Stegostoma tigrinum: one gene and its partner. Each later gene encodes a partner of the first gene's protein in a complex. Links are inferred from orthologs where the notes say so. Each region holds a gene or a part of one and is shown in the gene's direction. Other genes may lie near its edges. The genes, in order: agk and timm10b.

Region 1 (15,830 bases):
GAAATCCCAACCTGAAACGTCAACTTTCCTGCTCCTCTGATGCTGCCTGGCCTGCTGTGTTATCTCTGACTCCAGCATTGACAGTTCTTTCTATCTCTGATACGAGTTGGGTATAATGTAGAAATAATTCATGGAAGTCACTGCAAACTAAATTTAATATACTATGAGCTTTTCCAGTGAAGCATTAAACATCTACTTTTGTCTCCCCCAAAAAAGAGAATGGCTCAATAGTTCAAGTAATGTAAATATAAGACAGTGGGCAAGCCACAGTGTTGTTTTTCTGAATGTGTTTTTCAGTGAACTTCAATTGCATGGTCCTGTGTGAGCAAGACATGCTGCTGGTGTGAAATACTGCTGTGCCAGCACAAAATGGACCTACTTATAACAAATATTTAAGCAGATTCTAACACAATTACACTTTTTTTCAGAGACAATAACCATTTCGCTGTGGGTGTAATTTGTCAAATTGTCACCTAAGCAAAGTTATTGGGGGCAGCACAGTTCACCAAATACAGTTGGCAACAAAGTTGCTTCCATGGTTTGGAAAAGTGAGGAGGACTATTTAATGTAAGTAACTTAAACACTTTAGAAGAAAGAGTTTAGTGATCAAATGGAATTAATTCTAGTGCTGACTGATAATGTAAAATTGGCAATATCAGATCTTCTGATTTTACATTTACATTGATGAAGTACCCAATATTGTGGGGATGTGGCAAGGGTACAGATTTTCTGTACTGGATGTCTGGAAGGTGTTGTTGTTCACTTGCCATCTTCAGTGCTTCCTCCAAGCGGTGTTCAACATGAAGGAGTACTTATTCATCAGTTAAAGGAGGACAGTACATTGTAATGAGCAGGAGGTTTCCTTGCCCATATTTAACCTGAAGTCATGAGACTTCGTGGGGTCCAAAGTCAATGTTGAGAACTCCCAGGTCAACTCCTTCCTGACTGTATACCACAGTGCCGCCACCTTTGCTAGGTCTGTACTGCTGGTGAGATAAGACACATCCAGAGGTTTTGATGGTGGTATCTGGGACATAGTCATACTCACAGAATTATACCCTTACAAACAATGTCAGGCTGTTGTTTGACTAGTCTATGAGAAGCATCTCCCAATTTTGGCTCTGCCTCTCAGATATTAGTAAGGAGGACTTCACGGGGCTGACAGGGCTGTTTCTGCTGTTGTCTTTTTTGGTGCCTAGGTCGATGCCAGTTGATCCATCCAGTTTCATTTCTTTGAGACTTTGTAGCAATTGGTACAACTGAATGGCCATTTCAGAGGGTAACTGAGAGTCAACCACGTTGCTGTGGGTCTGGAGTCACTGATAGGCCAGAGTAGGTGAGGATGGAAGATTTTCTTCCCTGAAGGACGTTAATGAACCACCTGAGTGTTTCCTGACAATTGGCATTGATTTCATGGTCATCATAGATTCTGAATTCCAGATTTGTTTTTATTGAATTCAAATTTCACAATTTGCCATTGGTGAGGTTCAAATCCAGGTCCCCAGGACACTTTCTGATTCTCTGGGTTAATAGTCTCATGATAATACCGCTAGGCCCTTGCCTTCCCTGAAAGAAAACTTCAAACTGTAGTCAGCATACTTTTCCTAAATGTGTTGGAATATGGTGCTGAAGGCAATGGCAATGCATCAAACACTTTATGGGTAAGGTCAATTAATGTGGTCCAAAACCTAATACTGCTTTGTTTATTGATATACCAGGTGGTGGTATCTTTATCCACAACATACTGTCTATACCTCTCGTGATTTTGTAGACCTCAATCAGGTTCCACCTCAACTTCAATCCTTCTAATGTAAATAATCCTAATCTACTCAACCTCTAAAAATAGCTAGTGCCCTCCATACCAGGCAACATCCTGGTGAACCTCCTTTTCAACCTTTCCAAAGCATCCACATCCTTTTGGTAATGTGGAGACCAGAACTGTATGCAGAATTCCAAATGTGGTCAAACCAAAGCCCTACACAATTGTAACATGACCTGCCAACTCTTGCACTCAATACCCCGTCTGATGAATGAAAGCATGCTGTATGCCTTCTTGACCATTCTATCTTCTGCATTTCCACCTTTAGGATACAACGGACCTGAACACCCAGATTTCTCTTCCAAACTGCATCGCCTCACATTTGCCTGAATTGAACTCCATCTGCCATTTCTCTGCCCAAATGTCCAATCTGTCTATATTCTACTGTATTCTCTGATAGTCCCCTTCATTATCTGCTACTCCACCAGTCTTAGTGTCGTCTGCAAACTTGCTAATCAGACCATCTATACCTTCCTCCAGATCATTTATGTATATCATAAACAACAGTGGTCACAATACGGATCCCTGTGGAACACCACTGGTCACAGTTCTCCATTTTGAGAAACTCCTTTCCACTACAACTCTCTGTCACCTGTTGCCCAGCCAGTTCTCTATCCATCTAGCTAGCACACCCTGGACCTCATGCGACTTCACTTTCTCCATTAGTCTACCATGGGGAACCTTATCAAACACCTCATTGAAGTCCATGTGTATGACATCCACAGCCCTTCCCTCATTAATCAACTTTATCACTTCCTCAAAGAATTCCATCAAGTTGGTAAGACATGACCTTCCCTGCACAAAATCATGCTGCCGATCACTAATAAGCCTATTTTCTTCCATATGTAAATAGATCCTGTCCCTCAGTATCTTCTCCAGCAGCTTCCCCACCACATATGTCAGGCTCATTGGTTGATAATTACCTGTATTAACCTTGCTACCCTTCTTAAACAAGGGGACATTAGCAATTCTGTAGTCCTCCAGGACCTCACCCATGCTCAAGGATGCTGCAAAAATATCTGCTAAGGCCTCAGCTATTTCCCCTCTCGTTTCCCTCAACAACCTGGGATAGATTTCATCCGGACCTGGGAACTTGTCCACTCTAATGCATTTTAGAATACCCAATACTACCCCCCCCCCCCCCCCCCCCCCGCCATGCTGACTGGACCTGGAGTAATCAAACATCTATCCCTAACCTCAACGTCCATCATGTCCCTCTCCTCAGTGAATATCGACACAAAGTACCCATTAAGAATCTCACTCATTTTCTCTGACTCCTCACATAACTTCCACCCTTTGTCCTTGAGTGGGTTAGCCCTTTCTCGAGTTACCCTCTTGCTCCTTATGTATGAATAAAAGGCTTTGGGATTTTCCTCAACCCTGTTTGCTAAAGATATTTCATGACTCCTTTTAGCCCTCTTAATTCCTCATTTCAGATTCGTCCTACTTTCCTGATATTCTTCCAAAGCTTCATCTGTTTCAGTCACCTAGATCTTATATATTCTTCCATTTTCCTCTTTGCTAGTGTCACAATTTCACATGTCATCCATGGTTCCCTAATCTTGCCCTTTCTTTCCCTCATTTTCACAGGGACATGTCTGTCCTGCACTCTAATAAATTCTCTTTAAAAGCCTCCCACATATGAAATGTGGATTTACTCTCAAACAGCTGCTCCCAATCCACATTCCCCATCTCCTGCCAAATTTTGCTATAGTTGGCCTTCCCCCAGTTCAGCACTCCTCCTTTGGGACCACTCTCGTCTTTGTCTATCAGTATTCTAAAACTTACGGAATTGTGATTACTATTTCCAAAGTAATCCCCTACTGAAAATTCAACCACCTGGCCGGACTCGTTCTCCAACACCAGGTCCAGTATGGCCCCTTCCTGAGTTGGACTATTTACATACTGCTCTAGAAAACCCTCCTGGATGCTCCTTACAAATTCTGCTCCATCTAAGTGAATCCCAGTCAATGGTGGGAAAATTAAAATCTCCCATTACCAACACCCTGTTGCTCCTAAGTCTTTCTATAATCTGTCTACATATTTGTACCTCTATCTCACGCTCGCTGTCGGGAGGCCTGTAGTACAGCCCCAATGTTCTTACCGCATCCTTCTTATTTCTGAGCTCTGCCCATATTGCCTCACTGCTTAAGTCCTCTGTAGTGCCCTCCTTCAGCACTGCTGTGATACCCTTTTTGACCAGTAATGCAACGCCTCCACCCCTTTCACCTCCCTCTCTATTCCGCCTGAAGCATCTATATCCTGGGATATTTGGTTGCCAATCTTGCCCTTCCCTCAACCAAATCTCAGTAATAGCAATAACAACATACTCCCAGGTACTAATCCAAGCTCTAAGTTCATCTGCCTTACCTACTACACTTCTTGCATTAAAACAGATGCACCTCAGACCTACTGTCCCTTTGCATTCATCTGCACCACAGAAGACCACCCATTCTTTTGCATTCATCCAAGGGAAGCCCTGACATATGCTTGTCTGGATCGAATCCCAGTAGATCAAAGGCTGAAATCCATCAACGTCTCCAATCTGGCACTCAAAACCTCCAAGGCTTTGTATTCATAAGTTCTTTTGGCATTATACCTGCAGATGTGCCTTTAAGTCAAGCATGCTCGAGACCACATTACAATTTGACACTGAGATAACTCCCGTTAATGTGTAATGCCCTGCTACAAATGGAAGAGGTCCTCACTAGCTCAACATCATTTTATAATCTGAAAGAATCCTTTCTAAACAAAAAAATAAGGCCAACAAATTCTTCAATGTTCATTTCTTGAGCCTACACTTTAAATCCTCAGTTTCTGAGAGTACATTCATGGCCTGCACCTGTTTCAGGCAACAATTATCATCTTTCCCTGAAGTGAAGGCACTTGTCACATCTGCCTCTTTATCTGGTCCTTTTTCCTGTGTCTCATTTTGCAGAGAAAAGAAAAAGAAAATGGATGACAGAAAATAAAATGCCACAACAGATTTACTGACTGTAAGATTGTCTTTAACCCCACAAGAAGTGGAGAAGTGAAAAACCCTACCAAAACAATCCAACAACAACAAGCCCACGGTACTTCTGCTCCCGAAAGCCTCCACGATGAACCTCGCTCCATTGCGTCCTCCTTGAAGTATGTCAGAGACTTGACATCTGGGCATACTCACAGGCTCATTCCCACATTACAAAACAGGAGAATTTAAAGTGTGTAAATGTTCTATAATAAAATTCAATAAAACATCTGTACTAGTAGGCAAGAATTCATTGGAATGTCACATACTGAGAGGCAGCAAGAATATCAGATAGCAGCTTCAGTTAAGTAGAGGGATGAATGACATTGTGTTTGTTCTCCTTAGAGCAGCGACGATGAAAGAGAGATTTGATATAGGCTTTCAAAATTCATAAAAGTTGATAGATTAAATAGGAGAAACTATTCCCTGTGGCAGGAACAGTTGGTAACCAGAGGACAGATTTCAAATAATCATCAAAAAAAAGGCCAAGTGAACAAAGATAAAAGACTCTGTGTTCAGAGATAATGGGAACTGCAGATGCTGGAGAATCCAAGATAACAAAGTGTGGAGCTGGATGAACACAGCAGGCCAAACAGCATCTTAGGAGCACAAAAGCTGATGTTTCGGGCCTAGATCCTTCATCAGAAAAGGGGGATGGGGAGAGGATTCTGAAATGAATTTGGAGAGAGGGAGGCGGACCGAGGATGGATAGAGGAGAAGATAGGTGGAGAGGAGAATATAGGTGGGGAGGTAGGGAGGAGATAGGTCAGTCCAGGGAGGACGGACAGGTCAAGGGGGCGGGATGAGGTTAGTAGGTAGGAAATGGAGGTGCGGCTTGAGGTGGGAGGAGGGGATGGGTGAGAGGAAGAACAGGTTAGGGAGGCAGGGATGAGCTGGGCTGGTTTTGGAATGCAGTGGGGGGAGGGGAGATTTTGAAGTAGGTGAAATCCACATTGATACCATTGGGTTGCAGGGTTCCCAAGCGGAATATGAGTTGCTGTTCCTGCAACCTACGGGTGGCATCATTTTGGCACTGCAGGAGACCCAGGATGGACATGTCGTCTAAGGAATGGGAAGGGAGTTAAAATGGTTCACGACTGGGAGGTGCAGTTGTTTATTGTGAACTGAGCGTAGGTGTTCTGCAAAGTGGTCCCCAAGCCTCCGCTTGGTTTCCCCAATGTAGAGGAAGCCACACCGGGTACAGTGGATGCAGTATACCACATTGGTAAATGTGCAGGTGAACATCTGCTTGATGTGGAAAGTCATCCAGGGGCCTTGGTTGGGGGTGAGGGAGGAGGTGTGGGGACAAGTGTAGCACTTCCTGCGGTTGCAGGGGAAGGTGCCGGGTGTGGTGGGGTTGGAGGGGAGTGTGGAGCGGACAAGGGAGTCACAGGGAGAGTAGTCTCTCCAGAAGGCAGACAAGGGTGGGGATGGAAAAACGTTTTTAGTGGTGGGGTCGGATTGTAGATGGCGCAAGTGTCGGAGGATGATGCGTTGTATCTGGAGGTTGGTGGGGTGGTATGTGATGACGAGGAGGATTCTCTTTTGGTGGTTATTGCCGGGACGGGGTGTGAGGGATGAATTGCGGATCTTTTGGCTATTATAAAAGACTCTGTAATCAGTTATGATCTGTCTGGAAGGCTGGCGGAAGCAGCTTCAAAAATAATTTTGAAAAAGAACTTGGCAAATTTTTGAAAGAGAGAAGTTGTAAAATGAATGAAATGTGACTGTTGAAGTCTAATTATAAAACTCCGAGCCAGCACTGGCATGATGAACAGAACGGTCTCCTTCACAATTGTAAGATCCTACGAGAACAGCTGAATATTTTGCAAAAAGAAACTGGAGTAAAAGTTTTAAAGGGACATTTGAATTTGATTGCATTCAAGCCTTGCTCTATCACCTAGTTACACAGATTTCAGCTGATTACTAATTGATTACTAATGTCTCTTTCCCTGTGAAGCTGTTAACAGGATGGATTTACTTTATTTGCATAGAGCAACCACTGTTTGTATTTATTAATTACAAAATAGCTTAGGTGCTGTTATCTCCTCTTCAATTAATAGAATTACTGTAGTAGCTGGATTAATGAGGTACAGCAACAGCACACTCTAAGTTAAACTCATTAGGTATAGAATGTGAAAGCCTGCTTAAGGACTGCAAAATCTTGTTAAGTATTTGTTATTCACAGCATTTTGTGCTACTTTCCAAACACCTGGAATTTAAACAGAAGGCAACTCTAGTTAAGAGATAGTAGGAATTGCAGATGCTGGGGGATCTGAGATAACAAGGTGTAGAGCTAGATGAACTCAGTAGCCAAGCAGCATCAGAGGAGCAGGAAAGTTGACGTTTTGGGTCTGGACCCTTCTTCAGAAATGGGGGAAGGGAAGGGGATTCTGAAATAAATAGGGAGCGAGGGGGAAGGCGGATAGAAGATGGATTGAGGAGCATTGGCAGTTCCCACTATCTCTGAATCAATTTTCACCTCTACTTATGATTATAGTATCTTGCAACATTATTGGTATATTGTTTCAAATTACAGATTTGAATTTGTTTAAAATAATTTTAAAAGGATTTTGTTTATTTTTGTCATGACATAATTAAATTGTGTCAAGGAACGATCAGCCTGAAAACCACAGAAGTAAAGCCTGAGGGGATTTCCATCTATTTTGTTCTATGTCAGCTAGATGTGGTGGCAACAAGAGTACTTAATGACAATCGAGGATGTGGTCCCTACCCAAATAAGAAGAGGATATTATAGGAATGTGGAAGTAGCTGTGTTCAGTAGGGCCAACAGTTAGTGCAGCTACTGTCTAGATTGTTGTTCATGGTTTTCTGAGGTTTTCGTATAACTTCCTCCATAAACTGAGAACTTTTTCCATCCTGAACAAAATTCTCTCGTTGTAAAAATAGTAGTATACAAACAAAGTAAGTTTTCATAAGTATGGCACTGGTAGTTTGCACCTGAATGTTACTGGGGATTGATTAACGGAACAGGTGTGAAAGCGGGTTGTTGGTGGCCGGACCGCTTTATACACGGAACCAGTCTCCATGTGAACAGGAGGAAGCTTCATTTCCGGATTTGCTGAGTTGATTTAAAAGTGGTCTATTTTGCGTGGAATCGGTGCCGGGATCTGGAACCAAGGGAATGGCTAAAGTGTTAAAGACGCTGCGCAATCACTGGAAGAAAACAGCGGCCGGGATTTGCGGACTGAGCTGGGGAGCGCACTGGGTGCACAGGAGATACCGGTATTAGAGAGTCCTTCACCTGTGGGGGGCTGGGGCTGGAGAAAATCGGCACTTTACCTGGGACCACTACCTGCACGTTGTTCCTTCACTGTAGTTGGGCAAAAACCCTGGAATTTCCTTCTTCAGGACATTGTAGGTGGACCCAGACCACATGGACTGCAGCAGTTTAAGGACGCAGCTCACCACCATCAGCATCTAAAGGGCAACTAGGGACGGGCAATAAATGCTGACCATCTAGTCATGTCCATATCCCATGAGTGAACATATCATAAAAAGGGACGGGGACTAGAAACCACCTTTTAACCAGGACTGGGGCTAGAAACTGCTCGTTCACTGAGATCCTCCTCTTCTTTGGTAGGGGCCATATCCTCGATTGTCATTAAGTACTCTTGTTGCCACCACATCTAGCTGACATAGAACAAAATAGATGGAAAGTTAACTCAGCCACATTAGGGGCATTTAAACAGTCCTTGGATGAATGATGTAGGATAGTTCAGGGGCATGGGCTTAGATTAGTTCACAGATCAGCACTACATCAAGGGCCAAAGGGCCTGTTCTATGCTGTATTGTTAAAAGGGGGGGAAAAAAAAGAAAAAGACTTATGTAACACAAGGTATCTGGTGCTGCAGACATAAAATGCATAACCTGGGACATGCTAAAGCATGGTATTGTATAATACAAACTTAGCATCACTTCTGTCTAACTAATAATATGCACTTGAGATAGAATCAGTGTATTGTGCTCCTGAGATGCTGCTTGGCCTGCTGTGTTCATCCAGCTTCACACTTTGTTATCTCGGATTCTCCAGCAGCTGCAGTTCCCACTATCTCTACTCTTTGGAATCATTCAGTATGTGCTACGTTCTTGTATGTGAGCTATAGAAACTGGAGAAAAAGAATTGTAGTGTTATTAGTTACACCCACTGTCACCAAGCCGTACAGCATGGAAACAGACTCTTCGGTTCAACTTGTCTGTGTTGACCAGCTACCCTAAATTAATCTAGTACCATGTACCAGCATTTGGCCCATATCCCTCAACTCCTCCTATTCATGTATCCATCCAGATGTCCTTTAAATGTTGTAATTGTACCAGCCTCCATTGCTTTTTCTGGCAAGTCATTCCATACACGTGCCAGCCTCTGTGAAAACATTGCCCTGGGAGGTTTTTAAATCTTTTTCTCACCTTAAACTAAACTTATGCCCTCTAGTTTTGGAAACCCTCCCACCCCACCAAGCCTGAGGAAAAGACCTTGTCTGCTCATCCTATCCATGCCCGCCATGATTTTATAACTGTCTATAAGGTCACTGTTCAGCCTCTGTCACTCGAGGAGGGGGGGAGAAATAGCCCCAGCCTATTCAGGCTCTTCCCTCTGGCTCAAACCCACCAACCCTGGCAACACCCTTGTTGATCTATTCTGAACCCTCTCAAGTTTCACAACATCCTTCCTATGGCGGGGAGACCAGAATTGCATACAGTATTCAAAACCAGTGCCCTGTATGTCCACAATATGACCTCCCAAGTCTTGTACTCCAAAGCACTGACCAGTAAGGTCAAGTAAACCAAACACCTTCACTATGCTGTCTATTTGGCATTTCACAGTCTCTTTGTTCAGCAACACTCTCCAGGACCTTACCGTTAAGTGTACAAGTCCTGCCCTGATTTTCCTTTCCAAATTGCAGCTCCATTTGCTGCACCTGAGCACATTGGCCCATCTGATCAAGATCCTACTGCCGTCTGAGGTAACCTTCTTTGGTGTCCGCTACACCTTCAATTTTGTTGTCATGTGCAAACTTACCTTACCTCCTATGTTCATAGCCAAATCATTTATATAGGTGATGAAAAGCAGAGACCTAGCACCGATCTTTCTGACACACCGCTGTTCACAGCCCTCCAGTCTGAAAAGGAACCCAGCACCACCTTCAAGCCAGTTCTGTATCCAAATGGCTAATTTTCCCCATAATGCATGTGACCTAACCTTGCTGACCAGTCCATAGTGCGGAACCTTGTTGAATGCCTTATGAAGTCTATGTGGATCATGTAATTTAAAAACTAGAAACTAACCAGTATTGCATGCTTGTTATGTGGGCATAATTTTAGGAGGCTCTTTTAAGCTACAGGCCATAGTCACAGATATAGATAGACTGGGTGACGTAATGACCTTTTTGAGTGGTTTTAGATTCAGGTCGGAATTTGACAATTGTACATCTTAGCAGAAGAGAATGATGAGAAGTGGGTGGGCTGTAAACCTCTGGGGACAGTCATTTGAGTGGAGACACAAGACCAGAAATAGATCTAGCTTGTTTTACTATTCATTTAGATTGCGGCTGCTTAGCAGCTCAACTTCGTTTCCTTACTTTTTAACAAATGAATCAGTTTGCAGAATTTCATTTGAATCTAAATAAAGTTTGAAGTAGAGAATTCCATTATTTCCATGTGGTACAAAGTACTTTTTAATTTGTGTATCAAGTAGCTCTAATTTTAAGAATGGGCCCTACAGTTCTGACTTCTGCATCTGACTGGAGGACATAACTTCTCAGCATTGACTGTACTGAGTTTTATTTTTATCAATTCGAGCAGGTCAAACCAATCATTTTCTATACTGTGCTCCCTCCAAAGACCATATACTCTTCTTGGTTCACAAAGCTGAACATAATACTCTCGATTTCATCTGAACAATCAACGAATAATTTATTCTTTGTATTACAAATCCTTTATGTTAAACAGTAACATTATGTTGAATTTTTAAATTACTTTTGTACCACTAAATTAGCACTTAAGGTTTATGTACCTGCAGACCCTCTGATATTTTACAATTTAGAGTGCCCAATTAAGAAAATGTTTATAGAATTTTATTCGACAGAAGTAAGATAGTCAGCGCAACATGATGGACCACCATTTTAAACTCCATATCACTGCTTTTTCCACATAACCCTATGAACCAGTCCTTTCCAGCAACACAACTAATTGTCATTTATAATTTCCTATGGAGTTCGATTTCCCCCTTTTTTGGGTACATGTGGTATTGTTCTAATCTGTCAGTCTTGGCACCTTAACTAGAAAGGAGAATTTGCCAGACCAATGGAGGTATTCAAGTGTATTCAACAAATAAACACTTTTTTTAAAGAAAAAGGGCTAACCTTGACTTGAAACAATCACTTGTCTAATGGATGAATGGTTATTCAGTTGAACAACAACAAATGGGTTTAGGTCACCCAACTGGACAAAGTGTAACCAAAAGTAATAAAAATGAAAATCAAAGCTGAGCTTCAGGTACCACTACAGGAAAATCCAAAATTACTGAGAATGATGAACCAAAGAGGTTGCTGGACCAGCGGGCGTTGGATTAGGGAGATATGATCTGTAGTGTACTTCAGATTTTGACCTTGTCAGAATTTGAGCAGTTGACAGTGCAACACAAGGTCATTCAGCCCAATGTGCACCTGCTGGCATTATGAAAGAGCAGCTGCATTTAGTCACAGTTCCCCTACTCTCTATCTGTAACACTTTACATTTCATGTGTTCCAGTATCTGTCCAGCACACTTAATAATCATTTAAGGAATTACCATAGACCATGTTTTTCAAGTAGAATGTTCCAGATCCTGCCAACTGTGAATTAAGCAAAATTGTAGTCTCCACTCTAAAACTTTTGCTGAGTATCTATGAATTTGAGACCTCTGATTGTTGCCCCATTCAACAGAGGGAGTAGTTTTATTCTCTGTCTTCTCTATCAAAGCCGCTCTTGATCTTAAACATTTAGTAGGCCACGTATTCACCTTTTGTGTATGAAGAAAAATATGTTTAATTTTCCAACCTTTCCACATAAGTGGAACGCCTTCATCGTTGGTAACATCTTAAACAACCTTCTCAGCATTCTTTCTGTGGCCTTCTTTTCCGATACATGTTGCAAATTGCTCATGTCATTTCAGTTGAGGCTTAATCAATGATTTGTATAGTTCTAGAGTGATTGTTTAGCTCTTAAATTCTACATTTCCATTTATAAACCGACATGATTTCTTTAACTGTACATCAATATTGCCTCTAGCCTTTAAAGATGCATGCATGTGGGTACAAAGGTTTCTCTGCTCAACTGTGCATTCTAAAATTGTGCCATGCAGAGTATTATTTTTTAATATTTGTCCTTCCAAAATATATAATTTCACAGTTCTCCACTGTGCCGTCCATCTACCATGCTTTTGTTCATTACACCTTCATTTCTGTGCCAAACTGAAGTCTGTAAACTATCATCACCACTGTTGCTAAGTCCCACACCATCTGTATGCATTTTGCATCATTGTTCCTATCAACCAGGATAGATTGTTTATTAAAATGTAAAGGAGGAATGAACCCAAAACTAACTTTTGTGGGACATCACTGCAAACGACCTGTCAGTCTTAAAAACACCCAATTCACTACTAACGTCTGCTTCCTGTCATTAAACCAATTTAGTATAGATATTCCCCTCTCTCCTTTAATTCCTTAGATCATCTCTTATCAACAAATCACCTACTTTTGAATTTTTTGGCAGGGGCAGATTTGATGTAGATCACCTCAAACTTTTCACATTGGCCTCCATCTGCCACAGTTTTGGTTACTCATTTTAGACCCTTTCTATAACAGCAGTTAATCGTCAAATCCAAGGTCTTAAGCTCAAATGAAGTAGTCTGAGACTCTGTGAGCCAAATGAGCATGAAAGTCAAATAATCTAAATTTATCAGAGAGCTGGTTGTTCAAGGTCACTAACGTCACTTAGTTTAGGGAGGACTGGAGGCTAAGTATTGATGCCAAAAGTTCATTGTATTATAATACCACTGTTGTCTCAGGCATGATGCAATTGTAATTTTGTTTAAAATTGATAGCTGTGACATGCAATTTAGGTTTAATAAGCAGGAATTACAATAAAGCACAAGACATTTGACTTGATTTTTACCCAATAATGTAACTGCTCTGTACTGGAATAAGAATTAAAACATATTATAGATAGTACCGGAACATTAACAATTCTGCCCAACTTTGAAGAACATTAAAAATATAAGAAAGTTAAAAGTAAAAGTTTAAGTCTGGTAAGATATTTTCACTCAAATGTTTGCAGTTATTCCTTTAAAATTGATTACAAACAGTACTTTCAATAAAAATATCTGTAATTCCATATAGTCCTTTAACATATCTTCTAATGTATTATTTAGGGACAATCTCTTGCGCAGGGCAGCATGTCAACAGGCAGAGGTAAGGCACTCGGAAATTATTGGATGAATTTTTTCGCTGATTAATTAGCCTCTATAATTAGCCTGTGTACTTACTGAGGCTTTGTGGGGTAGATGTTCAATTTATAATTTTTCTTGAGTTCTTAAAAAGAATCGTATTGGACCTGAAATGTTAATGCCGTTTCTCTCCACAGATGCTGTCAGATTTCCTGAGTTTCTCCAGCATTTTCTGTTTGTATTTCAGAATGCATGCAAATATGAGATTGCAGCATCCAGTTTATATAACATCATGTTTTCAACTGTGATGTATCTACCAGTTTATATTATTGTGACTAAACATTGGACATAAAGGTAACGTCCTGATTTTAAGGGACATTTGGTCTGTCAAAGACTGCTGATGTCAAACCCAAAAGTCTATTGAGTGCAAACCTGAATATTTTTTAACTGTATAATTGACTGATAGGCTGCTGTTTGCTGCCTGGGTGTCTCTTTGCTCTTGATCTCCTTTCGTTAGATGTATACTTTAAGAAGTGACTTTTATGTCCATTTGACTCTTTCATGTCATCAAAAATCCCACCAGACTCTGCAATTGCAAGTACAATCGGTACATTATTAAATCTGTGCTCCAAGAGGACTATTGCTCCCAATGTTCCTTTACCTACCTTGAATAAATATACTAAGAATTATGCTTTGTTCTACTACCTTGGACAACCAACCCCCATCTAATTGAAAAATGTGAGCAATCAATGTTTGCTGTTCTTTTAGTGGACAGTAGATTCTATATGACTGTGTCAGCACCACAAACATGGCATTTTCAGGAGTGGTTCAGTAATTCTGTGTATAATTCCTTAAAGTTAAGCTGAGAAGGTTAATGAGGGTCCCGTTTGTAACTATTAGAGAGGCAGCATAACAGTATTCTGACACTGGTGTGTAGGTTTATATTCCTGTTGTGTTGAATCTTGGTTTACAAGCGACTTGGAAGGCCTGTGTAGCTTTTCCCTGAGAGTCCTGGGACCAAGCTGTCTGAAGTGACAGTTGAGTCTGAATATTTAAAACATTCAGCTAGCTCCAAGTTAGAGCCTTTAGGATGTGTTAGAACTACAAATATGCACTTAATTGCAATAACGTTCTCTTTTGTAATTACAATTTTAACAGTTTCTGACATTTTATTAGTGCTTGGCCTCGGTACATCACTTATTTATCCTATATGTAAACACATGCAGGTTGTTGCAAATTTGTAAAAAACAATGCATTTCCAGATTCCATGTTTCTTCACCAATTGTACAGAGCACCATCTTACCACTACAGTGACAGGTGTTGATCAAAATGGAAACTTAAAACTCTGAGATAAATAAAAGTAAGCTGTTTATTTATAATGTTTTAAGTTTGAAAGCATTTTCAGGGTTGTAACTTGTTTGAGTTGATATGACAGTTAATCTATTCTTAAGCGGCTGTTTTACCAACATTTAAAATTTTTGTGATTTTATTAATATATGCCTAAGTGCTTCACTGTATCTGTCAGGGTAAAATATTTTTAAGTAAATAAACTAGGCAGTATATTATCAGATTACCGGCCAAAATTCCATGTTGTATGTTGGATGCGTTTTGTGGTTGCTTTTGTATAGGGTAGAGCATTATTAACAGATCATGTTTTAACTTCATTGTCAGTACTTAGCACTCCCATGTCAGGTGTGATACAAGTTAGATGTAGAGTAAAACTCCAAGTAGACTTCCCATCAAACTATTTCAATGTCAGGCACAGTATGTGTCTGATGTTGAGTGAAAGTGTCTTCACTATTACGCAAGAGCCTATTCCAGGATAGGACAGAAACCCCATCTGCACAAGTGTATCATTTTTATTTCCAAGTTCAATCGTTCATAGACGTTTCTTTAGTGGGATTGAGATTTTCAGGAAAATTAATGCAAGGAGACATCTGATCATTTGAAATTTGGTATAAATTGACCCCAGACTCATTTTGTGCAAGACCTTTAAAAGCCTTTGATAAAGGCTATTAACCCTGTCCCAGTAGCGAAACAACAGCATTCAAACCTAGTTGTCTGAATCTCTGCTGATTCCGTGAGAGATATTTGCTTTCATTCCCTAATGTGCATACATTTTGTGATCAACGCTTGTGTTATTTTATTGTATTGAACCTGTTTTTTCAACCACCGAGTTCAGTGATGTTATTACACATCTTTGGAAAAAAGTGGGACTTGAACTTGGGCCTCCCAGTCCATGGATAGGAACACTGCCACTGTGCGACAAGAGGTCCCTTTTTATTTGACATTTGTGTTTCCATTTAGGAATATGGAAACCAGGTGCTGCCAATCAGTGCAAAAGTGAAGAAAGCTACTGTCTTTCTGAATCCTGCTGCTTGCAAAGGGTAAGAGATTTCACTGAGGCTATTGTGAAGATTAAAGGATGGCAGTGTCTCTTAGATTTCTCATTGGAAATGTTGCATGTCATAAATGTGGTTAATCATTTTTTATTTATCAACCATTGTGGCAACAAAGAACAAAATCATATTCAGTACTATTTTAGTCTGGCGAATC
Region 2 (15,794 bases), on another chromosome or scaffold:
CCATAACCTCTTGGTTCCGGAACTCGATCCCTCTATTAACAAAAGCTAAAACACTCTATGCCTTCTTAACAGCCCTGTCAACCGAGTTGGCAACTTTCAAGGATCTGCGTACATGGACACCGAGATCTCTCTGCTCATCTACACTACCAAGAATCTTACCATTAGCCCTGTACTTTGCCTTCTGGTTACTCCTACCAAAGTGCATCACCTCACACTTGTCTGCATTAAACTCCATTTGCCACCTCTCAGCCCAGCTCTGCAGCTTATCTATGTCTCTCTGCAACCTACAGCATCCTTCATCACTATCCACAACTCCACTGAACTTAGTGTCGTCTGCAAATTTACTAACCCATCCTTCTACGCCCTCATCCAGGTCATTTATAAAAATGACAAACAGCAGTGGACCCAACACCGACCCTTGCGGTACACCACTAGTAACTGGTCTCCAGGATGAGCATTTCCCATCAACTACCACCTTTTGTCTTCTTTCAGCAAGCCAATTTCCGATCCAAACTGCAATATCTCCCACAATTCCATTCCTCTGTTCATGGAGGGAACTCCAGAAATTCTGCCAAAATACAGCTGAAAGCATGGCCTATAATGGTGAAGCTAATAAATTCAGGATTCACAAAGGACAGAACTGTAGGATCACAGAGGGTTATGAGGTTTCAGGCCACAAGCATGGCAGGCTGCAAGGTCATGGAGGGATCTATCCTAAAGTAATAACCTGTGATAATAACCATAACTTAGTGAGATTAAAAATCAAATCCTTTATAGCAAAGAAAGGTGCCAGAGGGCTGATACAGCACTAAGGTGGTATCATTACTTAGGAAGGTTGGTAGAGAAAAATCAGGGAACTATAGACAAGTGATTCCAACATTAGTGGTAAGGAAACTATTGGAAAATGCTCTGAGAGACAGAATTAATCTCCAGTTGGAGAGGCAAGGATGGATTAAGGGTAGTCAGCATGGCTTTGTCAGGGGCAGATTACATCTGAAGTGTTTGATTTGTTATTGAAGATGATTTTTTAGAATACAGAATCCCTACAGTGTGGAAACAGGCCCTTCAGCCCAACAAGTCCACACTGAATCTCACAGCATCCCACCCAGGCCCATCCCCTTGTAACCCACCTACTGTACACATCCCTGGGCACGACGGGCAATTTAGCATGGCTAATCCACCTCACCTGCACATCTGTGGGCTGTGGGAGGAAACCCAGGGTGAATATATATGTGTGGATGAGGGCAATGCAGCTGATGGAATCTACGTGGACTTTTTAAATAAGATTTTTGACAAGGTTTTGCACGGGAAACTAGTCGAGAATATAATTATATTATTAACATATGGTCATGGCTGATCATCCAGTTCAGTACTGTTAAGATATGGAAAACAAGCAAAACCCAATCAACCCTACTATCACTGGACACACAACGCGTGAAACTAAAATATGCAATGACCCTGAGAATTGCCCAGTTGTTCCTAATAAAATTTTATGAATAACAAATCCTGAACACCAAGCTTATAACTTAAATAAAAATTATTAACAATTTATCAAGACTGCAACTATGGCAGGGCAAAGCCAAACAAGATAATCTAATCAATATTGTACTTATGATAATAATGGGATAGTGAAGGGGGAGGGGTTTAGATTAGTTCACAGGTCGGGGCAGCATCGAGGGCCGAAGGGTCTGTTCTGCGCTGTATTGTTCTATGTTCTACGTTCTAAACCCCAATCTTCTTTGATCATAAACCCTGATTCACACAGAAACAGGCAGACATAGTTAAGGGATAAACTAAAAAGAAAATAAACGTTATAATTTGCTAGTTCAGTAAAACAGTTTTGAATGATGAATACCAAGTCTTTGTGCGATCCTTGAATAATGAGTACTTCACAGGCATATAACTGTAAATTTAATTTCAAAATCACCAGTGAATACGAATAGTTTCGGTAGACTTCCAGAAATATTTATTTATTCCTTACAGTCTTCTCTCAGAACATTGAATAATTCTTTAACTGGATACAAAACATGAGATAGTAAGAAACAGCAGCTAGTCCCAAAGCTTCAAAAATCACTCTGCACTTGCTGGTTAGCCTCAGTCATTCCTTGATTGACCAACTCAAGATCAAGCTGAATGCCAGGTGCAAGGACTGTTATGCTGAAGAAGTGGGAGGCTGCAGAAGGACTTACCTGCCAGGCGAATGGCTTAAGAGGTGGCAGATGAAATACAATGTGGGGAAAATGTAAGCCTACACACTTTGCTAGGAAGAAGAGTCATAAACTATTTTTTAAATGAGGAAAGGTTTAGGAAATCTGAAGTACAAACTGGGAATCTTCGTTCAGGGCTCTCTTAAGATTACCACGCATGTTCACCTGGCAGTTAGGAAGGCAAATACAATGTTGGCATTCATTTCAGGAATGCTAGAATCAAGAGCATAGATACACTGATATGGTTGTACAAGATGCTAGTCAGCCTGCATTTGGAACATTGAGAGAGTTTTAGGGCTTGTATCTAAGGAAAACAGTGCTAGCGCTGGAGGGCATCCAGTGGAAATGTACAGGAATGAACCCAAGATGCAGTGCTTGTCACACGAGGAATGGTTCAGGACTCTCGGTCTGTACTCGCTGGAGTTTAAAAGGATGAGGCGACATCTGATTGAAACATACAGATTACTGAGGGGCCTGGATAAAGTGGACATGCAGAAGGTTTTCCATTAGGAAGAGAAACTAGGACTCCAGGGAACAGTCTCAGAGCAAAGGGATGACCCTGTAGATCCAAGATGAGGAGGAATTTATTCAGCCAGAAGGTGATTAATCTGTGGAACTTATCACCACAAAGAACTGTCAAGATCACATCATTGTGTCTTTAAGACAGAGATAGATTGGTTTTTGATTAGTAAGGGGATCAAGAGTTACAGGGAGAAGGCAGGAGAATGGAGTTGAGAAACACATCTTGATTGAATGGCAGAGCAGGCTTGATGGGATGAATGGCCTAATTCTGCTCCTACACTTTATGGTCTTTGGGCATTCATTAACAGCTTTATTTATATCACTAAAGATAACAGTTTCCAATATCAAAAAACTGCATTTGTTTGTTAAAACACGTAGCTATCCAAAATTCAACTCATCTTAATATCAACTCTCAGTTCTACCGAGGAGAAAAATAAGTATTTAGATAATCACTTGAAGTGCCACGCCCCCAGCTAGAGAAAAATGCAACAGGGCTGTATGTGCCTGTACCAGCTCTTCAAAGGGGTATCTTTACTTCGTGCCAATCCACTGTTCTTTCCCCCATAGTCTTGAGCACTATTTCTAGCCAATAATCATCTAGTGCCTCTTGAATGCCTCATTTGAACCTGTCTCCGTCACATTTCCAGAAAGTGCATTCCAGACCCAACTACTCACTGTGTCAATACTGTGTTTCTACCTCACCTTTACTTGTTTTGCAACTCACTTTATATCGGTGCTTCCGTTTCTGGATTATTTTTTCAGGGCGTGGGAACCTATATACCCTGTCCAGCTCCCTCATGGTTTTGAAAACCTTAATCATATCTCTTCTTAGCCTTCTTCACTCCAACCTGTATGTCGAACAATTGCGATTTCTTCAATCTGTCCTCATCACTGAAGTTTTTTGTTCCTGGAACCATTCTTATATATCACTTCTGCAGATGTGTTCATATCTTTCCTATGATGTGGTGTCTACAACTGTACACACTACTCCAGCTGAGGGTCTAACAAGTGTCTTGTACAGAGAATACTGTATATGCTGTACTCATACGCATACACGTGCCTCCTCTATCAGTCCTGCCACTTTCAATGATCTGTACACATATACCCCGAGGTGCGTCTGCTTCTTCACCCCCTTTAGAATCATATGTCTATTTTACTTGTCTTTCAAAGGTCATCAATCATTCCAGTCAGTCTTTACACTGGTTTGATCCCCTCTTGACCCAGTATTACTCTGCATTACTAATCCGAATTTAAATGATACAATGGCGTCCCCAAACACTTGCCAGCACCCAGATTCAGCATTGTTTCTCATTGGGCCAAGAACACACTGATCAAAGACGTTCTCCTGAGCACATTTCATAAATTCAGCACCCTCATTCCCAATTATTCTAAAATTGTTCCCCATATATATTTGTTTAATTCAAATCTGAAAGTATTACCAAGCTATTCCATGTGATTTCCCTGCAGATTTGCTTCGCTCCATCTGTGTCCATTTGGAGGTCTATAAATTAACTCCTGTAACAGGGCCTTGGCCCCTCTTATTCTCTCTTCAATACCACAATGTCTTCTCCAAACATTACTGCTACCCCACATCTAACACTCAACTCCTTCCTTTTGCCTGTTCCTGTACGTTATACAAATGAATCTGCCTACGGGGATATCAGGCTCACTCTGTTGGGATTCAGCCATCTCATTTAAACCAACATTTTAAAGGCTGTCTTGTGATGCAGTGGCAGTGTCCCTACCTCTGGGCCAGGAGGCCCAGGTTCAATTACCACCTGCTCCAGAAGTGTGTAATAACATCTCCAAACAGGTTGAATGGTAAAACTTGTCCAACCCGTGCAGTTCTGAAGAATCACCATACCGGACTTGATGCATGAATTCTGTTTTTCTCCCCACCGATGACAGCAGACAGGAAACAGTGAGTAGGGATAAATGGGTCTTTTTCTGAGTAGTACACAGTGACAATGGGGTACTAGATGACACAAAGATGGGTGGGTGGATGCAGAAATGCAGCAGTGTGACTTGGACAAGTTGAGTGAGTAAGCAAATGCATGGTTGTCGAAACATAATTTGGAAAGATGTGAGGTTATCCACTTGGAAGCAAAAACTTGGAAGGCGTACCATTATCTAAATGGCAAGAAATTGAGAGAGGGGAATGTTCAACAAGACCTGGGTGTCATGATATACTGTAGATAAGCATGCAGTTGCAGCAGGAGGTGAAGAAGGCAAATGGGATATTGGCCTTCATAACAAGAGGATTCAAGTACAGGAGCAGGGATGTCCTGCTGCAGTAATACAGGGTCTTGGTGAGGCCACTCTTGGAGTATTATGTGCAGTTTTGGTCTCCTTCTCTGAGGACGGATGTTCTTGCTACAGAGGGAATGAAGCAAAGCTTTATCAGATTAATTCCTGGGATAGTTATAGAGTCATAGAATAATACAGGCCGTTCAGCATAAACTGGTCCATGCTGACCATGGTGCCCATTCAGCTTGTTCCAATTGCCTACATTTCGTCCATATCCCTCTAAACCCTTCTCATCTAGAAGTTTTTAGATGTTGCCATTATACCCGCCTCAACCACTTTTTCGGGAAGCCCATTCCATATATGCAGCACCCTCTACGTGAAGAAGTTGCCCCTCAAGTCATTCTTAAATCTTTCCCCTCTCACCTTAAACCTACATCCTCTAGTTTTCAACCCACTATTCCTGGGAAAAAGACTAAATGTATTCATTCTATATATGCCCTATACACCTCAATGAGATCATCCCTCATTCTCCCATGTTGCAAGGAATAAATTCCTATCCTGGTCAATCTCTCCCAATAACTCAGGCCTCCTAGTCCTGGCAACATTCTCATAAATCCTCTTTGCACAATTTCCAGTTTAACTATGTCTTTGCTATAACAGGGTAATTAAAACTGAAAACTATACTACACGTGCAGCCTCAACAACTTGTACAATTGTAACAGATCGTCCCAATTCTTATGTAAAAACCAAATGAACTGCAGGTGCTGTAAATCAGGAACAAACAAAGTTGCTGGAAAAGCTCAGCAGGTCTGGCAGCATCTGCGATGGGGAAAAAAAAGTTCACATTTCAGATCTGGTAACCCTTTCTCAGAACTAAGTAACTTTCTCAGTTCTGAGGAAAGGTCACCAGAACCGAAACGTTAACTCTTTTTACCTTCACAGATGCTGCCAGACCTGCTGAGCTTTTCCAGCAACTTGTTTTTGGTCCCAATTCCTATACTCAATGCCTCGACCAATGAAGGCCAGCATGCAAATATCTACCCTGTGACACGGCTTTCAGTGAACTATGTACTCGTACTCCTAGGTCCCTCTGATCCACAACACTCCTCAGGACCTTACCATTTACTGCATAAGTTCTACCATGATTTGATTTTCCAAAGTGCAACACCTCATACTTATCCGTATTGAATTGCAATTACCAATCTTCAGTCCACTTCCCCATCTGATCAAGATCCCTCTGTAATTTTTGATAACCTTCCTCATTATCAACGATACCTCCTAATTTTGTATCATCTGCAAACTTACTGATCATGCCTCGTACATTCACATCCAGATAATTTATGTAAATAACAAATAACAAAAGGTCCCAGCACTGAACCCTGTGGCACACCACTAGTCACGGCCTCCAATCTGAGAAATCACCCTCAACCATCACCCTCTGCTTCCTACTATCAAGCCAATTTTGAATTCAATTCGCTAGCTCTCCAGGGATCCCAAGTGACCTAACCTTGTTGTAGGAGGAAAGATTGCATCTGTTTGGATTTTATTCCCTGGATTTCAGAAGGATGATGCAGTGGGGTGGGGAATATCTCACTGAAACCTTTAAAATTCAAAGAGGACCAGACAGGGTGGATGCACGAAGGATGACAAGTGTGGAATCCAGGACCAAGAGACACAGTCTAAGTCATTATAAGTCATTTAGGACCGAGATGAGAAATTTCTTCACCCAGAGAGTAGAGAGCCTGTGGAATTCATTGCCACCGAAAGCAGTCAATAAAAACACAATGATTAAAAGAGGGAATTGTAGATAGTACCCGAGTTTAAAGGAATCAAACAATGATCGGTAAAAACACGCACAGACTCGAGTGGATGATCAGCAATGATCACAATGAATGATGCAGCAGGCTTAAAGGGCCTGCTCCTGTTTGTTACCATGTTTAACACAGCACTTTATAGTTTCCTGCTACTAGTCTGAATAAATAGTGACTCTGAACTGCAACAGTTAGTGACCCTTACCGTGAATAAACAATGAGGAATTCTGATGTTGGCAAACTGCATTCCTGTTACGTGGACTGATGTGTGGGGTTGAAGAGGCTAAAGGAATAGCCACAAATGGGGTGACAGGAGGAGGGACAAGGTACGTGTCAGGGGCCTGAGGAGGTTACAGAGACAAGGAGGGAGGCGGTGGTGGTAGCACTGAATACAGGCTGTAGGATGTGTGCATGTCACAGAGGGAGTACTCTGTTACACATTGTGATCCAAGCAGTACTCAGCTTGTTGTGTCGCAGTTTGATGTTTGAAGAGTCTACAATTTTCGTTCATGTATGCAGGTGAGACACATCGAGTGATGTCAACAAGGTCAGGGCGAGAATTAGTCTCCAAATACACGCTACGATCAGCAACTACATCAGTGCAAACCACAGCAGGAGGTGGAGAAATATACAGAGGGCAGGTTCATACCATGGGAGCAGGTCAAGGGGGTGGACTGCACTAGCAGTGGGTAAGACAACGTGGGCAGTTGGGTGACACTGACCAACTGAGAATAGCAACCCGTCCTGAGTATGATGGGCACTCCCTGGTCAAACAGACACCTTCCCCAGCAGTTCACAAATCATAGCGACACACAAATACTAATGGGGGGGGGGGGAGAGGGGGGAGGAGAGTGGGGGCGTCGGGGAGGAGGGGGAAGGAGGGAGAGGGAGACGGGTTAGGGTGGGGGGATGGGATGGACCTCTTGTTTCCCCCCGCCCCGTTCTCTTACCGGGGCTGCCGCTCGGGTGTCTCTCGGCGGGGAGGGGCCTGAGCCGGTTTCTAGGGACCCGGAGCCAGGGCGGGCCACCGCCAGGAAGTGACGACACAACTGGGCGGCTCACCGGAAGCGATTTGGGAAAGGTCGTCGAGACAGAATGGAGCCGGAGATTCGCAACGTGAGGCCCTCACCACCCCCACCCCCCCCCACCCCCACCCCTCCCTCACCCCCACCCCTCCCTCACCCCCACCCCTCCCTCACCCCCCCCACCCCCACCCCTCCCTCACCCCCCCCACCCCCACCCCTCCCTCACCCCCCCACCCCCTCCAATTTCCCCCACAAACCAAGAGGTTATGCTGCAGCTGTACAAAACTCTGGTGCGGCCGCACTTGGAGTATTGCGTACAGTTCTGGTCACCGTATTATAAGAAGGATATGGAGCTTTGGAGAGGGTGCAGAGGAGATTTACTAGGATGTTGCCTGGTATGGAGGGAAGGTCTTACGAGGAAAGGCTGAGGGACTTGAGGCTGTTTTCATTAGACAGAAGAAGGTTGAGAGGTGACTTAATTGAAACATATAAAATAATCAGAGGGTTCGATAGGGTGGATAGGGAGAGCCTTTTTCCTAGGATGGTGACGGCGAGCACGAGGGGGCATAGCTTTAAATTGAGGGGTGAAAGATATAGGACAGATGTCAGAGGTAGTTTCTTTACTCAGAGAGTAGTAAGGGAATGGAACGCTTTGCCTGCAACGGTAGTAGATTCGCCAACTTTAGGTACATTTAAGTCATCATTGGATAAGCATATGGACGTACATGGAATAGTGTAGTTAGATGGGCTTGAGATCGGTATGACAGGTCGGCACAACATCGAGGACCGAAGGGCCTCTACTGTGCTGTCATGTTCTATGTTCTGTGTTCTAACCCCTCCCCAGCTCACTTGCCCCAATCTCATGTGGCTGCCCTCTTCACTAAGAATCCCCCTCACCCCCAGAGTCTATGTCCTGCACAAACCCCCTCAGTAATACATCCGTTCATTCCTATCCCCCACTCCCAACATCATACACTCACGTGGAAATTTACGGACAGCAATGGCTGTGTTAGCATCTGTGTTTTCACGGGAAGGAGGTCAATGGCATATATGGAGGGGTAGGTGTATGGGTTTGTTTCTGCTCCTCTGTGATCTTAATCTCCAGCTCGCTCGCTCTCTCTTTGTTTCAGCTGCGGGACTTCCTGTTGGTCTATAACAAAATGACAGAAACCTGCTTCAACAAGTGTGTGGCCAACCTCAACTACAGGAGCATCACATTGACTGAGGTAAATCCAAGGATGACCAGCTGCACACATCATTGGAGGCATGTGATAGCCCTGGAAAGGGTTTAAACATAATTTTACCAGGATGTTGCCTAGACTAGAGAGTTGTACGAAAAGAGGTTGGAAAGACTGGGGTTATTTTTCTTAGAACAGAACAGAGTAGATTGAGAGTGGATGTGGTTGACATGCATACAATAATCAGAGTCGTAGATACGGTAGACAGGAAGAAATTTTCCCTTTGGAGGGATCAATGAGCAGATGTGTAGATTTAAGGGAAGAGCCATAAAGTTTAAAGGTTATTTGAGGAAAAATATCACATAGAGGTTGATGGGAATCTGGAACTCAGTCTGTCAGGATGGAAAGGGCAGAAGCCGCTTTAACATTGAAGAAGTATTTAGATGTGCACTTCTGATGCCAGGACAGGCAAGAGAATGGGCCAAATCCTAGATTAGAATAATTAGGTGACAGTTTTTGACTGGTGCATACTTGATGGACTGAAGAGCCTTTTTCTGTGCTGAGACCTCTCTGACTCTTTGAACCTCATCACACAAATCAGGAACAAGGGATCATTTTGACCCTCCTTCTTGGCTCATATCATTACTCCATCCCCAGTAATCTTTCACCCTTTGATTAACCAGAGATGAAAATGGGCTATTACAGTTAGAACCAAGAGATGTAGCTCGGTGTTAGATAAATACTTTGCAGCTATCTTTACTTAAGGGGCAGGTGCTGCTCAGTACATGGTGACAGAGACAAAATCTCAGTCACTGAAAGGGTTTAAGGTTAATAAGGAGCTGGTATTCAAGACACTGTTGGCAGTGAGAAGTCACCAGACCAGTTGAGATGCATGGCAAAAATTTGCCAGCGTTGCTCAGACAGCACTTTCCAAACCCATGACCACTTCCATACAGAAGGACCTTTTTCCAGCTACTTTGTTTTTGTTCCTAATTTGTGGCATCCGCAGTTCTTTTCATTTTTATTAAGGGCAACAGATACATGGGAACACCATACCCTGCAAGTTCCTCTCCAAGACACTCACCATCCTGACTTGGAAATATATTGCCGTTCCTTTAGTGTTGCTGGGTCAGATCCTGTAATTCCTTCCTTTAGGGCTTTTTGGGTCTAGCTACATCACATGGATTGCAGCAGTTCAAGAAGGCAGCACACCGTAACCATCTCGAGGAGCAAATATGGGTGGGCAATAAATCCTGGGCCCAGCTAATGACACCCACACCTCATAAGAGAATTAAAAAACAATGTATGCCAAGGATATGGAAGGGAAAGTGGAAATTGCAGAGATATTGACAAATTACTCATGACCCTTTGACAGTGCGGCCTATTAGGTGTCTGTACGATATGACACAGTTTGTTGATGGTATGCTCTGGAACGGAATGTGCTTTAATATGTTTCCTCTCTTTCTAGGAGAATTGCATCAACAATTGTGCTGGTAAATTGATCCACACCAACCATCGGTTAATGAGTTCCTACGTCCGGCTCATGCCAACCATTGTTCAAAGAAGAATCTCTGACTATGAGGCAAAAGCTGCAGAGGTTGTGCAGAAATCAAATGTGAATCTGCCTGCATCAGAGGGCCAAAGTAACATTGCTGAAATTGTACCAGGGGACTTGGAAAATTCTGTTATCCCTGACCCACTGAATCAGACTAACACTGGCTCTCCTGACCAGAGTTAGTTTCTTGCTCCCAGTGTCACCCTGGCACTAATTCTTTCACTTACCCTTGCGTGCACAGATTGAGTGATTCCTTCCAACTTCCAGCGAATCAAACGGCATCAGTTGGGAGCTGATGTGTAACAGAAAATCAACAGACCCAGCTCAATATCTACATCACCTGGCATTTTAAACAGGTAGTTGAATTTGTGTTGACAGAAGCTGGAGTGTGGTCTGGAATGGGCCAAACTGGACTGACCGCAACTATTAGACAGTGACAAGACTGGAAACCAAAGGTCATACTGACCAGAATAGCCAGAGCGTTTCACATTGTGAAAGTGAAAACTCAACTCCTGAATGCTGAACTGTTAACATCTTAAACGAAAAAGGAGCTCAAGACAGCCAAGGCATGGAACTGATTAAAGTTAGTTTCATTGAAAATGTTTCCTTGCTCTTCAGTGAATTAATATACATTTAAGTTACAGGTGAGACCCTTGTCAAATGACAGCACTTATTTCAGTTCACAGATGTTGTTTAAGAAATTGTGGGTAATGTTTCAGAATATTTTATCATCTGAACTATCAGTTCAGGAGTCTGTCGTCTACTCCAGGCCCCAAACACATGAATTATATCATTACCACTAAGAGTATGGTCCCTCTGTGAGTGATGAGCTGCCCAGAACTAAGAGGTAAAATTGCAGACATAGTGAGTGCGTCACTGTGGGAATAATCCATACAGAGACGCCACACCAGTCTTTCATAGAAGCATCATAGAATCCCTACAGTGTGGGAACAGGCTATTCAGCCCAACAAGACCACAACGCCACTCCAAAGAACATCCCACCCAGACCCATTCCCTTACCAGAGATAACAAGGCGTAGAGCTGGATGAATGCAGCAGGTCAAGCAGCATCATAGGAGCAGGAAAGCTGACATTTCAGGCCTAGACCCTTATTTGTAGAACTCTTCATAGAAATTTCTGAAGAAGGATCTAGGCCCAAAACAGCAAGCTTTCCTGCTCCTCTGATGTTGCTTGGCCTGCTGTGTTCATCCAGCTCTACACCTTGTTATCTCAGATTCTCCAGTATCAGCAGTTCCTACTGTCTCTGAAACAATTTTAACCCCATTCCCTTACCCTTATATTTCCCATGCCTAACTCACCTAACCTAAACTTCCCTGGGCAATTTAGCATGGCGAGTTCACCTACCCTGCATGTCTTTAGATCATGGGAGGAAACTCACACAGACACAGGGAGGATGTGCAAACTGCACACACAGTCACCCGAGGGTGGAATTGAACCCAGCTCCCCGACACTGAGAGGCAGCGGTGCTAACCACTGAGCCACCTTGCTATATTTCACTAATAGTAGACATTGTTTGAACATTCTTGTGTTCCCAGTGTGTTTATGGTGTGAGATCATGTGCAATAATGACCGAGATTGGTGAGTGGCAAAAATAGCCTCTTTATCGAGCATCCACAGTGGCACCGTTTGAGGTGGTGATGGAATCCAAAGTACTGTTTTACAGTAGACTCTTTTTAGACACAGATTTTTAAAGGTTTAATTTTCTTTAATGATAAAATTTTAGCACTATGGTATCAGGTAGTTGTGTCAATTGTACACAAGTTTGCATGATATCTGTCTTGACGGAGGAGGAGATCGTTTAAGCACTTGCTAAATGCTGACTGTTACTCCTGATGGGATTAGAATGTCTGTGATAATGGGAACTGCAGATGCTGGAGAATCCAAGATAATAAAGTGTGGAGCTGGATGAACACAGCAGGCCCAGCAGCATCTCAGGAGCACAAAAGCTGACGTTTCGGGCCTAGACCCTTCATCAGAGAGGGGGATGGGGAGAGGGTTCTGGAATAAATAGGGAGAGAGGGGGAGGTGGACCGAAGATGGAGAGAAAAGAAGATAGGTGGAGAGGAGAGTGTAGGTGGGGACGGGATAGGTCAGTCCGGGGAGGACGCACAGGTCAAGGAAGCGGGATGAGGTGGTAGGTCGGAAATGGAGGTGCGGCTTGAGGTGGGAGGAAGGGATGGCTGAGAGGAAGAACAAGTTAGGAAAGACCCAGCCTGTCTCCGCTTCCCTAACCTGTTCTTCCTCTCACCCATCCCTTCCTCTCACCTCAAGCCGCAACTCCATTCCCTACCTACCACCTCATCCCACCTCCTTGACCTGTTCATCTTCCCTGGACTGACCTATCCCCTCCCTACCTCCCCACCTATACTCTCCTCTCCACCTATCTTCTTTTGTCTCCATCTTCGGTCCACCTCCCTCTCTCTCCCTATTTATTCCAGTTCCCTCTCCCCTTTTTCCTCTAATCTCCGAATTATCAGCAAGACCCCTGCAGTAGACGTTGGGCTGATGGGGTACTGTTTAGTGCAAGGTGGAGGTGCTCCTGTAACAGTCGTGGGTTCTATTTGCAGTGATCCGCAGTCGAACTTATCTTTAGCCCAGATGAGGTGGTCTTTTAATTCTTCCCATTGTAGGGTTCTGATGAACCACATCGTCTGACCCTCCGTGAAATGTAAGGATGAATTTAGTCGGGTGAGGATATCCATCCCGAGGAGCAGCTGGGCTACAGCTCCTACCCATACAGAGGTTACTAACCCACGGGGGTTAAATTCACTCTGATTGGGTTTGGTCCTTTTAATTTCGATCCTATCAGCCCCTGCTCTGTATGCTGTTCTCACTGTCCCACCTAGCGGGAGTTTGGTCTCATGCTTCTGGGGTAGGCAGGTCAACTCTGCTCCTGTGTTCAAAAGGCATTCACTGTCCAGTTTGGCTGCACTCATGGTCACATACAGTCCATCTCCCCACCTGCTGGCATAAAGCCAGTAGGAGCACAGCGGGTTCTCTCAGTTTTTGTCATCAACTCCTGCTGCTGGGCAATTAGCTCCTTAAACAGCACTAGCTGATCGGTCTTACTCCCAGTTTTTGGCATCTTCTCTTCCTTATTGCTTACTGGGTGACTTCTCCCTTTTCCTCTTTGTCAGCCCCCTCTTGTCCAGTGGCCTTCCTTCCCACAGACATAACAGTTCCCAGGGTGTTTGTTCTGGGTCTTTCTCAGAGGGTTTTACTGGGAGTCTGTCCCATATGTCCTATCTGTAGGGTGTGCAATTTGGCATCCATATCTCGGTCGAGCTAGTGGGATCGATCCATCAGTTTGTAATAATTCGTTCCCGAATGGTCCTATTCTGGTTTGGTGAGCTTTAGCGTCTTAGTAAGCTCAGTTTTAAACCTGGCCACAAAAGCCAACTTCAGCAGGCTATAATCACATCCTTCAAAATCCCTGTTGTCCTGCAAAGTTGAGACTCCTGCATATTCTTTCCAAGTTGTCCTAAATCTTTCCTCATGTTCTGGGACTTCCTCCGTAGTTTTTTTAATAGCAAGCCAGGACTTTTGTCCAGTTGGTCTTAGGTGGACTATACCCCTGTAACCAATGTTTTATTGCTATTCATCCAGCTTGCAGCTCCTGCTCATACTCCCCAAGAGTACCTTTGCCTGCCTCATGGAGAAGGCATCCTTTTAATGACAATTCAGCATCTGTACCCCATCTCAGGGATAGAGCATATATACTCCCCTTAACCAGTCTAGGCTTTCCCATGTCTTCATTGGCCCTTTCTTTGGGTGAGACTTTATTTAGACCATCTGTCTGAATTTTCAGGGGTTTCGGGTTCATGCACAGTGTGTTTTTTGGTCCATTTTACTAGAACATCCACCTTACTGGTCCTCTAACCTTTGCCATACCACTTTCTCTATTTTTACCTCCTTAGTTTTAAGGACTCGTAAAAATGGTACCAGGGGTATAGTTGCCATCACTGTCACTGCTAGAGGACCCAAAGGCAATAACTAGGTTTTGCTAACCCACTTCCTGGATGTTACAGGTAGTTAGATACAAATTCTGTATGGACTTGTGAACCGGGGAAGAAATTGACAGGACTGCAAACTCGTCCTTCAGTTTCTTGTTTTCTTTCTCAAGCTCCTGATTTCTAAATTCAGCCTTTTCTCACTTGATCCCTGCTTTTGTAGCTGTTCATGCATTTCTTTTAATTGCTCTTTAAGATGGTTTAGTTCACCATCATCAGTTGATCAAGACATGATTTCATTCTTTTGGTGAATTTGTCCCATTACCTCAAGGGACCATTTAGTTCTGCCCTTATCTTTCTGTCAGTTGGCTTTTCCCCAGATGTGTTGCATATCATCTAGGGTCAACTGTCTTATGGGAATATTGTATTCCTGCCCGACTTTAGTTAGGGTTTTCCCTAACCAGAACTGTACTTCAAAGTAGTTTTGTAACTGCCACAACATTTCTTAGTCAGCAATGTCAGGAGGGACCAGCCCACCTTTGGAGGTCACAGGCAGCTTACTGGGGTCACTCATAGTCACCCTAATACTTGTGCCAAGGGCAATTTTTTGCCATGGGCTATTTCAGTGGATTTGGAGCACTCAATGTCTGGGCACAAGGGTATTCGAAAGGGCCAACTCACGAGAGGTTGGGGATCATGTTCAGCGACCAGGTCATGACTTTAAGAAGGAACTCTCTTGCTTTTGGGGTAGTGTCAGTGACTGGTCAGTTTCAACGGTGTCCCCAGCGATCCAGCCGACTACGCCAATTTGTGGAATAGTGCTCGATAATGGCCAAGATCGATGAGTGGCAAAAATAGCCTCTTTATTGGTTATCCACAGTGGCACAGTTTGGTCAGCTCAGAAAACAATTCACTTTATCTCTACATCGCAGTACAATCATAAATCAAATCAAAAAAGTCATTCAGTACACTCAAGGCTGATCATCCACCTCTGTTCTCTATTCCTGCGTTCTATCTATATCCTTTGTTGCCTTTCGCCGTAAGAAGTCTAGGACTCAACATTCAGCTCAATGACTTCTTAGTCTCTGCCCTCCGCTTCAATTTACCACCAACTCCAACTCCACCCCGGGTGACTTGTTTAAATCTAAGTAAAAACCCAAAAGAACTGTGAATACTGGAAATCAGAATTTGCTGAAGAAACTCAGTAGGTCTGGAAACATTTGTGGAGAGGAAGCAGAGCTAACACTTTGTGTCCAATGACTTTTTAAAGCACTCTGAC

The links.
Region 2: agk (region 1) and timm10b share a complex: the UniProt entries of both Homo sapiens proteins name them as parts of the TIM22 complex. The link is inferred for Stegostoma tigrinum from reciprocal best matches to the Homo sapiens genes AGK and TIMM10B.

What each region holds. Positions count from the first base shown.
Region 1 is NC_081371.1:24,071,620-24,087,449, forward strand, and holds the start of agk (acylglycerol kinase, mitochondrial), read left to right. Parts: upstream 1-7,875; 5' UTR 7,876-7,974; coding exon 7,975-8,075; intron 8,076-13,259; coding exon 13,260-13,299; intron 13,300-15,581; coding exon 15,582-15,661; intron 15,662-15,830. UniProt on the Homo sapiens protein: Lipid kinase that can phosphorylate both monoacylglycerol and diacylglycerol to form lysophosphatidic acid (LPA) and phosphatidic acid (PA), respectively. Does not phosphorylate sphingosine. Phosphorylates ceramide.
Region 2 is NC_081359.1:113,855,153-113,870,946, reverse strand, and holds the start of timm10b (mitochondrial import inner membrane translocase subunit Tim10 B), read left to right. Parts: upstream 1-7,830; 5' UTR 7,831-7,882; coding exon 7,883-7,903; intron 7,904-8,942; coding exon 8,943-9,038; intron 9,039-10,458; coding exon 10,459-10,728; 3' UTR 10,729-11,189; intron 11,190-15,794. UniProt on the Homo sapiens protein: Component of the TIM22 complex, a complex that mediates the import and insertion of multi-pass transmembrane proteins into the mitochondrial inner membrane.